Struthio camelus: one gene and its partners. Each later gene encodes a partner of the first gene's protein in a complex. Links are inferred from orthologs where the notes say so. Each region holds a gene or a part of one and is shown on either strand. Other genes may lie near its edges.

Region 1 (3,744 bases):
GACAGAGTTTTGCTTGGTAAAGACTGCACTCTTACCTTCCAGCTGTGATTTTTGGCAGGCAAAAGCTGGGGTGCGCAGAGGAAGGTGAAGGGAAGCCTACGAAAAAGCAGTGCTTCCTAACTAGGGGCCTTCGGGCTTGCAGTGTAGTCCAGGGATTTGGCACCCTGTGCTGCGTGGGGCAAACTTGGATGGACACACAACCTCCTCCTCCTCCTCCTCCTCCAGAGGAGTCAGGGTGCAGCGGCGACACGTATTCAAGCCTGGCAGGGCTCCGCTCTAGCGATCCCTGGGAGGGGCAGGCACAATCGCTGCCACTCCAGTCACCTGGGAAAATAAAGGCGGCTTCTGAATTTCCTCCTCCTGCCCCCCATCTCCCCTCTTTCATCTGGAAACAATCCACAGATGTGGGAAGTCAGCAGGTAAACAGAGCGGAGACATCGCAGCAAACCACAGAGCCAGACCTGAGCCCGGCACGCTCTGCTAAACCCCTGCTAAAGCCTTTCCCTTCTGAAACAGGATCCCTGTAATGAAAATAATTAGCAAAGAAACAGACAAAAACTACTTCAGAATGAAATTTAAGCTTCAGCAGAGCACAGCACCGCCAGGAAACGCCAAGTAGGAGCAACCATCCCTTCATCCTGAATTCACACCATTTTCTGTTTCTGTTTCCTGTGCAAAGTTATCAATCACTCGGAAACTGCTGTGGGGCGGTGGGGGGGGGGGGAGATGCGGATCAAGATTTGGTTGCAGAGCGCCTTGGGCCAAGCTTCACCTGATGCCGCCAAAAAACCAGGCGGCTACCTCGTTTCGTGGGGGAACGCTGGAAATGCCTCGTAGGATGTACAGTAGTGGGGGGGGCGGGACGGGACGGCTGTGGTTTTGTGGGCGATCTCTGGCAATCCCCAGCACGATATGCGATATTGGGGGGGAAAATAAACCACAACACAGGATTTTGTGAGGGACCTCTAGCAACAGGCAGAACGATGCACGCTACTGGGGGAGGGGTGGGGGGGACCCGAAAGCAACCCCCCCCCCCCGCAGCACGCACGGTGCGGCGTGAGGACGCGAGTAACTTCCAACAGGCGGCAGCGAGGTAAGAGTGCAAAATGCGACGTTACAAACGGCAAAACGCTCTCGGCTCGGCCGCGCGTTCTCCCCCAAACCCACCCCCGCCGGAGGCAGCGCGCCCCCCCGCCCGGCAGCGCCGGCGAAAGGGGCGGTGCGCGGCGGGGCCCCGGTGGCAGGGCAGCGGTGCGGGTGCGCGCACGCGCGTGCACCAGCGGCTCCCCCCGCCGCCGCCGCCGCCACCATCCCAAACCCGCCGCGCGCGCGCACGCCGCTGCCGCCTCCTCCGCGGCCGCTTTAAGGGCGGCGGGGGCGCGCCGCCGGGGCGCCCGGCGCGCCGCCGCCGCCACTCCTGCTGCCGCTGCCGCCTCGCCGCGCTGCCTCTCCCGCTCCCTCGCCCCGCTTTAAAGTCTCCGCCAGGATCCGGGCTCGCCCGCCACTTCCTGTACGGCAGGATGGAGCGCGCCGGGGCCCCGGCTGACCGCCACCGCCCGCCCGCCCGCGCGCGGAGGCGGCTCTGAGCGCCCCGTCCGCGGCATGCCGCGCGCCCCGCGCCCGCCGCCCGCCTGAGCCGCGCGCCCCGCGCCCGCCGCCGCCCGCCCCCGCGCGGCGCCCCGCGCTCCCCCCCGCCCCGGCTCCGGCGTTTATTTTTCATTCTTCTTCTTCCTTTTTTTTTTTTTTTAAACGGAGGTGAGCAGAAGCCCCCCGCTGTCTCCCGCAGGGAGAGGGGGGTGTTTGGGGGGAGAAACTTATTTTCAACAAGTTTTTTTTTTTTTTTAAATTAATTATTTTAGCCCCTCTCCCCTTTCGATGTGCGGCTTTGGACATGCGGAGGCTACTGCAACCGTGTTGGTGGATCTTTTTCTTGAAAATCACCAGCTCCGTGCTCCATGATGTGGTGTGCTTCCCCGGTGAGTGCGCGCGGGCGGTGGGCGCCGGAGGAAGGGGGGGGGTCCCGGCGCTGCCGTCACGCGTGTCCGCGACCCCTGTGGGCGCGGGGCTGTGCTTGCGGCCGCGGGGGGCCCCGCTAGCTTTTTGCGCGGGGAGGGGGTGGCCGGTGCTTTTACCTCGCGCCCTAAAGCAGGGGCAGCGGTGCCGCGAGTGGGGCCGTGCGCGGTGCGGGAGCTCGGCTCCGTGCAGCCGGCGCGGTGTCACCCGGGCGCGGTGCATTGCAGCCCTCAGCGTGGGGCGGCGGGTCCCGGACCGCTGCCCCTCGGGCGCGGGGCTGCGTGGGGCCGTTGAGGGGGGGGAGTTGCCTTTGTGCCTCGGGACTGGCTCCAGCCGTCGGCTCCGCGCCCTCGCCCGTTTCTGCAAAACCCCCGCGTAAGAGGCAATTGAGGAGTGCGCGGGTCTCCTACCACTACCACCACCACGCGTGTCCGCCCGGGTGCCGCGCCGTGCCGGCGCGCTGACCTTGGTGGAGGAGGGAGGGGGACACGGGACGGGGGTACGTGTGCCGTCCGTGCACGCTCTCCTCTCCACTGCCACCCGCGGCGAGGGCGCGATGCCGGCGCGTGGGGGGCCACCCGGCGCCCCGCTCCCCACCGCCGGTCCCTCCGCGCCGCGAACCCCCCCCCCCGCGCGACGGGGCCGGCTAGGAGCTCCCCCCACCACCGCGCGACGTGACCGTGTCGTGTCCCCCCCCACGGCGCGGCCCGGGGGAAGTTGCCGGGCTCCGGGCTGCACCCCCCCCCCCAACCCGGGCCGCCGCCGCGGTGCCGCCGCCCGTCCGCCAGGGGCGCTGCCGCCCTGCCGGCGCCCCCGCGGGGCCGCGCTGCGCCGCGCCGCTCCGCGCGCCCCCGCCGCCCCTCCGCCCGCGCGCAGCCTCCGCGCCTCCTTTCGCCCGAGTTTGCCCCTCCCGCCCCCCACCACCCCGCTCAGATCGGGGGGCCCCGGCTGTGGGGGGCCGCGGGCGGGGGAAGTCGCCTGAGGCGCGGCCTGGGCGGGGGCCGCGCCGGCCGCTTCCCGGCGGCGCCGCGGGGAGGGAGGGGAGCGCAGCCCTGGGGGAGCTCCGCAGAAACTCCCCGCTCCGTCCTTAAAAATTACACCGCTTTATTTTTTTTTTTTTACTCAATTTTTTTTATCCCCCCCCCGCCCCAAACCCGGAGCGCAGAGGTAGCCCCGTCGCATCCCGCTCCTTCCAGCAACTTCTCGGCCCCTCGCGCGGTTGGCGGCCGAGCCAGCCCCCGCTGGCGGGGGGGTTAACGGCTCTGCCGCCCTTGGAGAAACGTTTCTCCTCTTTGCCTTGATTTCCTTCTGCGTTGCGGGCCGGGGAGCGAGGCCGTTCGCTCCGGCCCTGAGGCGTGCGGCGCCGTAACGACCCCTGGGAGCGGCCGGCCGGGCCGGCGCAACGTGCCGGGCGCCCCGCTGCCACGCCGGGGCCGTTGGCGACGCGGCCGGAGGGGCGGCGGGAGTTGCCCCCCGCCGTGGGTCGACTCCTGAAGCCCGGCAGGGAGCCGCCAAGCAACCGGGCGACGCTCGGGGAACGTCTCCCCGGGGGGGGGGGGGGGGGGGGGCCGTCAGCCGCCGGGCGGGATGGCTCGGAGAAGCCAGCTTATTTCCCAGGAAGGGGCTTTCGCGCCTTTAGCTTTCCCGCGGAGCGGCCGCGTTAAGACCTCGGTTGCCCTTTCGCCCTGGCCGCTGGCGAGCGGCGGCGGCCGGAGCGGAGCGGAGCGGGGA
Region 2 (3,744 bases), about 7.5 Mb from region 1:
GCATACAGGAAGCCCTCCATGGAGATTTGGTAAACCCCACATCTCTTAAATCAGGCTGCATCCAATGAACTGTTCTTCCCCTGCGGACAAATGATAGAAACCTCCTCCAAGCATGTGCTCTCTACTTTTCGGAGAGACCATCACTTCACCTTCTCTTCTGCTACAGTTATTTCATCATTCTTCAAAGGTGTCTTAACCAAATAGCCATCTCAAGTAAAAGTAAACTTATCATTGCCAGCAATCCCTCTGGGCGGGCTAACGACTGGCTGAGGACAAAGCACAAATGCTCAGACGCAGAGGAATGAGCCATTACGCTGCAGCATGTCCACACTACAGTGGGGAGAGGGAGGAGGCGGCCTGAAATGATCGGTACTGCAGCAGGGCCATTGAGGCAACATGGGAATAGGTATGCGAACACTTTAAACTCCTGGTGCAAGCTCCCTGAAATCAGCAGTTATGCTGGAAACCGAGGAGATCTGCTGAACCGCTCCACGTTTATAGGTGGGGTAAATTCAAACTAGCTAAAGAAGATACACACTGCTCTTATTTCTTTTTCTGAATTCTTATTTTGGTCTATTTAACATGTATGCTTGCCTCTGTGTGTGTTTTTGCCACCTGACTTCCACTTCCTCTCAACTTGCCATTGTTCAGACAGCCATGCAATTAATCCCATTACAAACTAATGGATTTACATTGAGATTACATTAAAATGTGGTGAAGCAATGCCTGCGACCTAATTGCACGTTTCTTGGCAGAACCATTCTGAAAACTGCTGTTTCCACTTCCCACCCCTGTGAATACAAATAACTTCTGCTTACTAAGGGAAAGGCATTCCCTCGTCTGCACTTTGCATTTGATCTCGCTGAAGCAATCCCAAGAGGAACAGTGGAAATCTACGGTTTGAAGTTTACGTGCAATCAGGATTTATGTCTGTGCTACTTTAGACAAGCAAGCCTTTCCTTCTTTATTTAATATGCAAAACATAGAAGGGGTAGTTACAATGTTTCAGGAGTACAGTCAGTGCTGGAATATAATCTGAGTGTCAACTTGCATCCTATGAGCTTAATTTCATGGAGTGCATGAAGCAAATATGGGACCAAGAACCAAACAAAATTATTCCCATTCCTGTTCTAAACCTGAGTGGTGCCCCAGTTTTCAAGAAGATAGGTTTTCTGATTACCTGACAGGAGCTCATATTGGTATGAAAAGAATAGTAAGAGCACATTTAATCTTTTATGCTACTAGTATGACAGCTGTGCTTTTGCTCTCTCAGCCTGCTTGAAGGATGATTAGTACAGAGCTAATTTTTATACATTCAAGATTTCTAGATAGCAATATTCATAAACTGTAGCAGCTCTGTGTATCTGATTCAAGCACTAATTGTGCGGGTCCTATCACGAATACAGCGGGAAAGCCGTGTATTTCATGGTTAATACCAGAGAAGAGACACGCAATGCTCAGTGGATAAAAGGCTTGTAGTCCCAGCTGGGAAAATAGTTCCATTATCTCCCAGCTGCATAGACATTCCATACGGCTCCGTTCTGCCTCGATGAACACTGTGGCTTGCTGAGAGCTTCAAACAGTTCTGCAGAAAATTGTAAAGATCCTGAGACATTTCACTGTTCAGATCTGTAAGTACAGAATTGTGCTGTCTACTGCAATATGAATAATGCTGGGGGAGCTGCATTTTCTATTTTTTTTCCTCAGTAATTTTCATTAGCATAAGGGATGGAGAATGCAGAAAATTCACTGCTTTATTTATGCTGTGTTTCTATAAATTGCTGATGCTCCAAATGTATTTATTCTTGCAAGAGGAGAATGTAATGAATTTGTATGCATGTGAGGTTTGAGTCAAACATTACTGGAGACTGTGCTAGTAACAGACACTACAGGTATATTTTTTGAGTATATCACAGCTCTGTGCTGCAGTAAAACGGACAACACAGAAGATGACAGTGCTAATTTTGGCACTTTCATATGACTTTGTACTGCATATTAAAAAATGAAGTGGGTTATGACAGTCGTCTAATTTCTACCATCTGAAGGTGTAAAGGCAATAAATGCAAATTTCCAGAAAATTTAAGTTATGTCCTTGAAGAAAGCTTCCCTTGTTGCTTATCTTAACAATTAAAAAGGAAAAAAAGGTTACAACATATACTGAACTTCGCTTTCGCAAAGATTTGCAAATCCAAAGATTTGCAAAGTAGTTCTAGGTTTGGTGTTGTCATTTATTTATAGTGTATGACACAGCTTTAAAGGAAACATAATACTTTATAAAAAGTTTTGAAAGTTTGTGGTTCCAGGAAACAAGCAACTGTTTGACTAGTGCTTTATGTTAAATTATATACTCCCATAGTGCTTCCTGGGTGTATGCTTGCATTCAGACAGTTGTTACGTGTATAAAGGGTCCCCTCTCACAGCCTGTAAACAATCAGGCTGAATGCTAAACCGTTTCCTGCAGCACTCACAGAGTACTTATGTATTTGGATGATTAAACAAGAAGCAGACACTATGCAGCCTATTTAAATAACAGTTACTTGTCCTTTTTTTGACATTGCAACAATTCACAGATAAAAATTAAGAGGCAAAAGCAGATTATTCAATTCTTTACGGTAGCCTTTTCTTGTTTTTCTTCCCCTTCTTTTCCTTCTCCGCCCCACTCAAGAGGGGAGGACTGCCAGACTACTTCCTTCTACTTCCAACATTTGAAAAAGTTCTGCAAGTCCTGTGTGTGTGTGTGCACGACACTGTGTGTGTGTGTGACAGAGAAAATAAACCCTGCAGCGCTTGTAATTCCAAGCACCACAGCAACACAAATAACATATCTTCATCAGCCAGCTTTGGCTCTGGTGCTCCAGAGGCACTATGTCAGTGTTTCATGTTCCATGAGCCTCTGCTTCAGAGGTTTTATGACACTAAAAAGTCCCAAATCAGTACCTATATGAAGTTAGCAACTATCATATATCACATTTTATTGTGTAAAAAAGAAAAATAAAATATACCAATATATGCAACCATAGTTTTCAAATGCTGGTGAGGTACTGATGGTCATGCATTAGAGGTGTTACCTTTCATGCTGAGGATAAACTCTTAAATAATATATAACAAGTTAAGTGCTTTAAATCAAAGAGAAGACGTCTCTTTTCCTTTTCTTTCAGCTTTACAATCAGTATTAAAATGCACAGGGTAGCATAATAAGCTACCCTAAAATTAATTTCTTGTTACTGAAGCAAATATTTCTATCACAAAACAAGGTGCCAACATCCCAAAGGAGACTCGAAATAGAAAGTTGTATGTTTGCATTATGCAGGTATGAAACACTATTTGTATTTGAACAGAAAATTTTCGTTAGAAGAATATTTGTCCCTGTATTGTGGGTATACAGAAATACATCAGCTCTTCAAAATGGCTTTCAAGGCTATATATTTTTTTGAACTGTATTAACTGCATGCTACTACAGAAGAACATTCCCTTTGCTTAAAATCTCGACTGAATTTTTTCAAGAGAATTGCCACAGATCCCCTTCTACCAACCCTCGGCCAGAGGTCAGTTAAATGCTGCACACCTTCCTGATGGAAGGCTTGCTCAGGGAAATGGAAATTTAAAAAAAGTCTTAATTCTACTATGCTGCCCAGAGTCAGTGCTCAAACACGCTGACTTTGCCCCTCAGGTGCAGCCAGACCCTCCTGAATTGCCACAGAGAAGCAAGCTTAAAAGTGGAACTCTCTTTAAGAGACTGAGCAC
Region 3 (3,744 bases), about 7.9 Mb from region 1:
TTACTTTAGTCCACAAACCAATATATCTACATTGTAGTTAGATTCCTGAACAAAAATCCTAATTTACATCGCAGAGTCAAAACTTGCTCCTTATGCTTTGCGTCCTACATATGAATTATGCATTTGGATTATGAGATCACTAGATTAGTTGTTTTTCAAAAGCTTTGACCCTGCTGGTCCTGAAGGTCTGGCTTCCAGTGATTTAACCCAGCAATTCAAAACCAATCTTTCTTTTTCTTGGTGTCATGCTGAAACAGATTTTTATCCTGGAGATTAAGATAAAAAGTGACTGCTTGTATCTAGGGAAAAGCAAAGAATGAAGTTATTTCCCCGAGTCCAACATATACAGTACGGTAAACACTGTCTGGTGTAGAAAATACTGTTGTCCTCGTTCATAATGAATTGTGAACCTTGTTTATACTAAGACTGTAAGTAGATTTGGCAAAAGAATTTTTTGTTTTAATATTGCCATTTTTGGTGCATGATTGTAGGGGACAGGGAATAGTTATGTACTTTCATGAAACATTAAATCGGCTAGATGTCATCATTATGTATTATTTGCTTTGCTAATAATAAAAAGAATGAATCACTACTGTCATGATATACATATTTATATTTGAGTAACCATTGTAGCAGGTAACAGCAAAGATGTGTGCAAGTTTAAATCTTGGCAGCACGCCTAGATTAGAGCTTCAAAGTTGACATTTTGTGGATTTCATGTGATTCATGTTACTTTTCTGTGTTTGTGATTACCTTCCTGTCAGGGACTGGGCATCACTCATGCAGCAATAAGCAGACTACAATTTCTGTATTTGAAGGCAAATTCCCAACTGTTGCACCAAATGCTGTTCCAAATTAGCCCCGTTTTCTGTATAAGACAAGGTCTGAATAACAGATCACAAGCAAAATCAGAACGAGTACATAAACAGCTTTTACAGGGACGTTATCAGGTCAATTTAGGCCAGAGACGTAGGTTCGGGAAGAAAACCCAGACTCGCTCTAATCTAACATCACTAAAAATAGACTGTGATGATTTATGAACTTTCAAACACAGCAGAGTATTTTTAGGCAACAGAGTTTTTTGCAATGTTTGCAGCAGCCCAAGAACGGCAGCGCTGCGATAGCGGGGCTGCGTCTTCCCGGGGTGCAGGGTGGGCTGCACATTGCGACAGCTGCGCCAACCTGCAACTCGGATGGAGACGAGCCACTGCCAGATTTTCCTTCCCTAATGCTTAACGCATGCAAAATTCAGCAAGACCAAGAGGAGGAAAAAAAAAAAAAAAAAAAAAAGCTCAGCAATGGTCTAGCTATCTTGTGGTTATTACCCTCCCTCCAGCTTTGCCTTGTCTTTACTTCTGATCTTTTTTAATCACGCAAACTACACAGATCTGCCAAAGCCGATCCCTAGAATCAAGTGAAATCAATTACCTGGGAGCAGAACCTCTACCAAATTATTCTGAAGTTCCACATCTGTGGTAGAAATTGTAGAGGAGATCAACAACTACACAAGTTTCCGAGGTGTCACTGATAAGGTAACACATGTGTGTGTTGTAAATCGAGGAAATTTTAATCCCACTAAACTGTAAGGGCTGCGAATCAGAGCTCAACGGCAACGAGAAGCCCTTCTCGACAGGGAGGAGACGGGAGCTCGGACCGGGCGCTCGCGCCCAGGCCCCGCGCAGCAGCCCCCTCGCCCGCAGCCCCGGGGTTTCTGTCTCTAGAACAACTGCTTCTCAGCCGACAGGTAAAAACCAGCATTCGGGAAACAAACAAGGAGGGATTAACGCTAGAAATAGGGAACCGACCACGGCGAAGGGTGGCTCAAATCTCAAAGACCTGCTGTCCTGCGGCGCCGTCCGCCGCCTCCCGGGAAGGTGCTGGGGAGCAGCACGAGCAATGCACAACCGCACCGGCTGCATAAACTTAGGGTTAAAAGGAAACGTCATTTTATCACGTTTAGGGTTTGCATGCTAAGGTAAAAGTCAGGCTTTTTAGAAGCAAAGGAAAGCTTTTCCTCTGCGGTCATTCCCATTGAAAACACAAGTATCTTCATCAGTTAGGACACCGCGAGCTTCGAAGTCTCGGCAGACTAGCTGCCTAGAGGAGAGCTCGCTCCCAAGTTAACTGCGGAGGAAAAGCCGGGAACGCTTTCTGCCCGCCTGAGTTTTGCCAGGATGGTTCGGCTCCAGCTCCGGGCAGCCGCCCCCGCGCAGCGCGGCGGTCGCTACCGCGCACCAGGGGAAGGCTCCGGTGCGGCTTCCCGCGAAGGCGCAGCTCCCTCGCCGCAAAGGGGCTGAAACCAGCCCAAACGCCCGCGGCGGCGCTTCGGTGCGGCCGGGCAGCGAGGCGGGGGGGGGCCGCTCGGCGCGCACCCCTCGGCGGGGCCGCCAGCCGGCGCTTTGGGCGGCCGGTCCGAGGCGGCGGGGAGGGGGGTTATTCCGGGGCCATTTAAGCAGTTCGCGGGGGCTCGCAAACGCAGCGCTCCGCCGGCGCGCAGCCCCGAGCCCCGCGGGCCGCGGCCGCCCAGCGCTCCCCGCCGAGGGGACGCGCAGCCCGGCCCTCCGCAGCCCCCCGCGGAAACCCGCGGAGCGCCCCCGCGGCGGGGCTTGCGCGGCAGCGCGGGCTGCAAGCGAAAAGTTATGCGCGCCCGCGGGAGCCGGCGGGCGCTGCGCGGCCCCCCCCCCCCCCGGCTGCCCGGGCCGCGCCGCCCCGCGGCCGCCCGCGCAGCGCCCCGCGCTCTCCTGCCCGCCTCGCCTGGCTGCGAGCGGTCCCCTCCTTTCCTCATTCATTCCCAGTTCTGTCCCTCTCCTCCTCTTCTTGTCGCCCCCCCGCCCGGGCCCGGGGAAGAGCGGCGCGGAGCGGCGCTTACCTGGGCGGGGCGGGGCGGGGGGCGCGCGGGGCCCCGCGGGGCGGGCGCGGCTGCCCGCGGTGCCGAGGTGCGCGGCCGCCCGCAGCAGCCCGCGGCCGCAGCATTGAGCGTCAGCGGCCGGGAGCCGGGCGGGCGCCGCGCAAGATCCCACCCCCCAAACCTGCGCCGTGCGCGGGGGGCGGGCGCGGGGCCGCGGGGGAGCCGCCGCCCCGCGCCCTCCCCCGCGCGGCCCTGCGCGCTGCCGGGGCCGCTCTGGCCGCGGGGGTGCGGGCGGCCCCGCCTCGGTGCCGAAGGTCTGGACCCCCCCCCCCCCGCCCCCGCTTATGTTTTCCGTTTTGACTCGGGAGGTTTCGGGTGGAGGCGCGTTGCCGTGTTTGCGCCCCGAGGCTGCGGCGGCCGGCGGGTCCCCTCGGGGCAGGAGCTTCCCACCTCTCTCCTTCCCCCCTCTTCAGCAGCCCCAGGCCCGCGGGCAGGAGACCCCAGGCTCCTAAATTACAGCTCTGGGCTTTTTTTCTTTCTTCCCCCCCCCCCCTTCTCTCCCCCGTGTCCGTGTTGGCCTCCGGCACTCACCCCCGCCCCGGCCCCCCGGCCCCCGGGAAGCGCATCCCGCTCGCCCTCGGCCTCTCAGGGCTCCTTCGCTCCGGACCCTCCCGTCCCCGTCCTGATCCCCCTGGCGGAGAGGGGCTCGCTCGGGGAGAGCGGAGGGCCAGCCGGGCGCCGGGCCTCGGCGCGGGGGCCGACGTCCGCAGCTGGGACGTCTCTCGGGGAGGCTCGTGAGGGCCCTCGCTACGCCTCGTGCCTACTGCAACGTGCGTAACTGCCTCGGCAGTCGGAGTCCAGGCTTAATAAGCAAAGTAATGTAAAGGTGTAAAGAC

What was found.
Region 2: the proteins of PTPRG (region 1) and CNTN6 are in contact, whole or in part, in a crystal structure (PDB 5E5U), measured with the Mus musculus proteins. The link is inferred for Struthio camelus from reciprocal best matches to the Homo sapiens genes PTPRG and CNTN6. Residues at the interface, in NP_033007.2 of Mus musculus: Val225, His226, His227, Lys229, Phe288, Thr290, Gln292, Gln293, Asp294, His295, Val296, Lys297, Ser298, Val299, Glu300, Tyr301; in NP_059079.2 of Mus musculus: Arg129, Val132, Arg135, Gln138, Gly139, Val140, Val141, Leu142, Leu143, Cys144, Gly145, Met222, Gly223, Tyr225, Glu226, Pro227, Lys228, Glu230, Leu252, Asn306.
Region 3: the proteins of PTPRG (region 1) and contactin-4 are in contact, whole or in part, in a crystal structure (PDB 3KLD), measured with the Mus musculus proteins. The link is inferred for Struthio camelus from reciprocal best matches to the Homo sapiens genes PTPRG and CNTN4. Residues at the interface, in NP_033007.2 of Mus musculus: Lys222, Val225, His226, His227, Lys229, Phe288, Thr290, Gln293, Asp294, His295, Val296, Lys297, Ser298, Val299, Glu300, Tyr301; in NP_001103219.1 of Mus musculus: Thr128, Arg129, Ser130, Val132, Ser133, Arg135, Gln138, Gly139, Met140, Val141, Leu142, Leu143, Cys144, Gly145, Val219, Met220, Gly221, Glu222, Tyr223, Glu224, Pro225, Lys226, Glu228, Leu250, Asn304.

Annotation. Positions count from the first base shown.
Region 1 is NC_090955.1:11,522,594-11,526,337, forward strand, and holds the start of PTPRG (receptor-type tyrosine-protein phosphatase gamma), read left to right. Parts: upstream 1-1,063; 5' UTR 1,064-1,093; intron 1,094-1,675; exon of another isoform or gene 1,676-1,755; intron 1,756-1,859; 5' UTR 1,860-1,891; coding exon 1,892-1,976; intron 1,977-3,744.
Region 2 is NC_090955.1:4,036,149-4,039,892, reverse strand, and holds the start of CNTN6 (contactin-6), read left to right. Parts: upstream 1-1,083; 5' UTR 1,084-1,631; intron 1,632-3,744. UniProt on the Homo sapiens protein: Contactins mediate cell surface interactions during nervous system development. Participates in oligodendrocytes generation by acting as a ligand of NOTCH1.
Region 3 is NC_090955.1:3,629,081-3,632,824, forward strand, and holds the start of contactin-4, read right to left. Parts: upstream 2,885-3,744; 5' UTR 2,870-2,884; intron 1-2,869. UniProt on the Homo sapiens protein: Contactins mediate cell surface interactions during nervous system development. Has some neurite outgrowth-promoting activity. May be involved in synaptogenesis.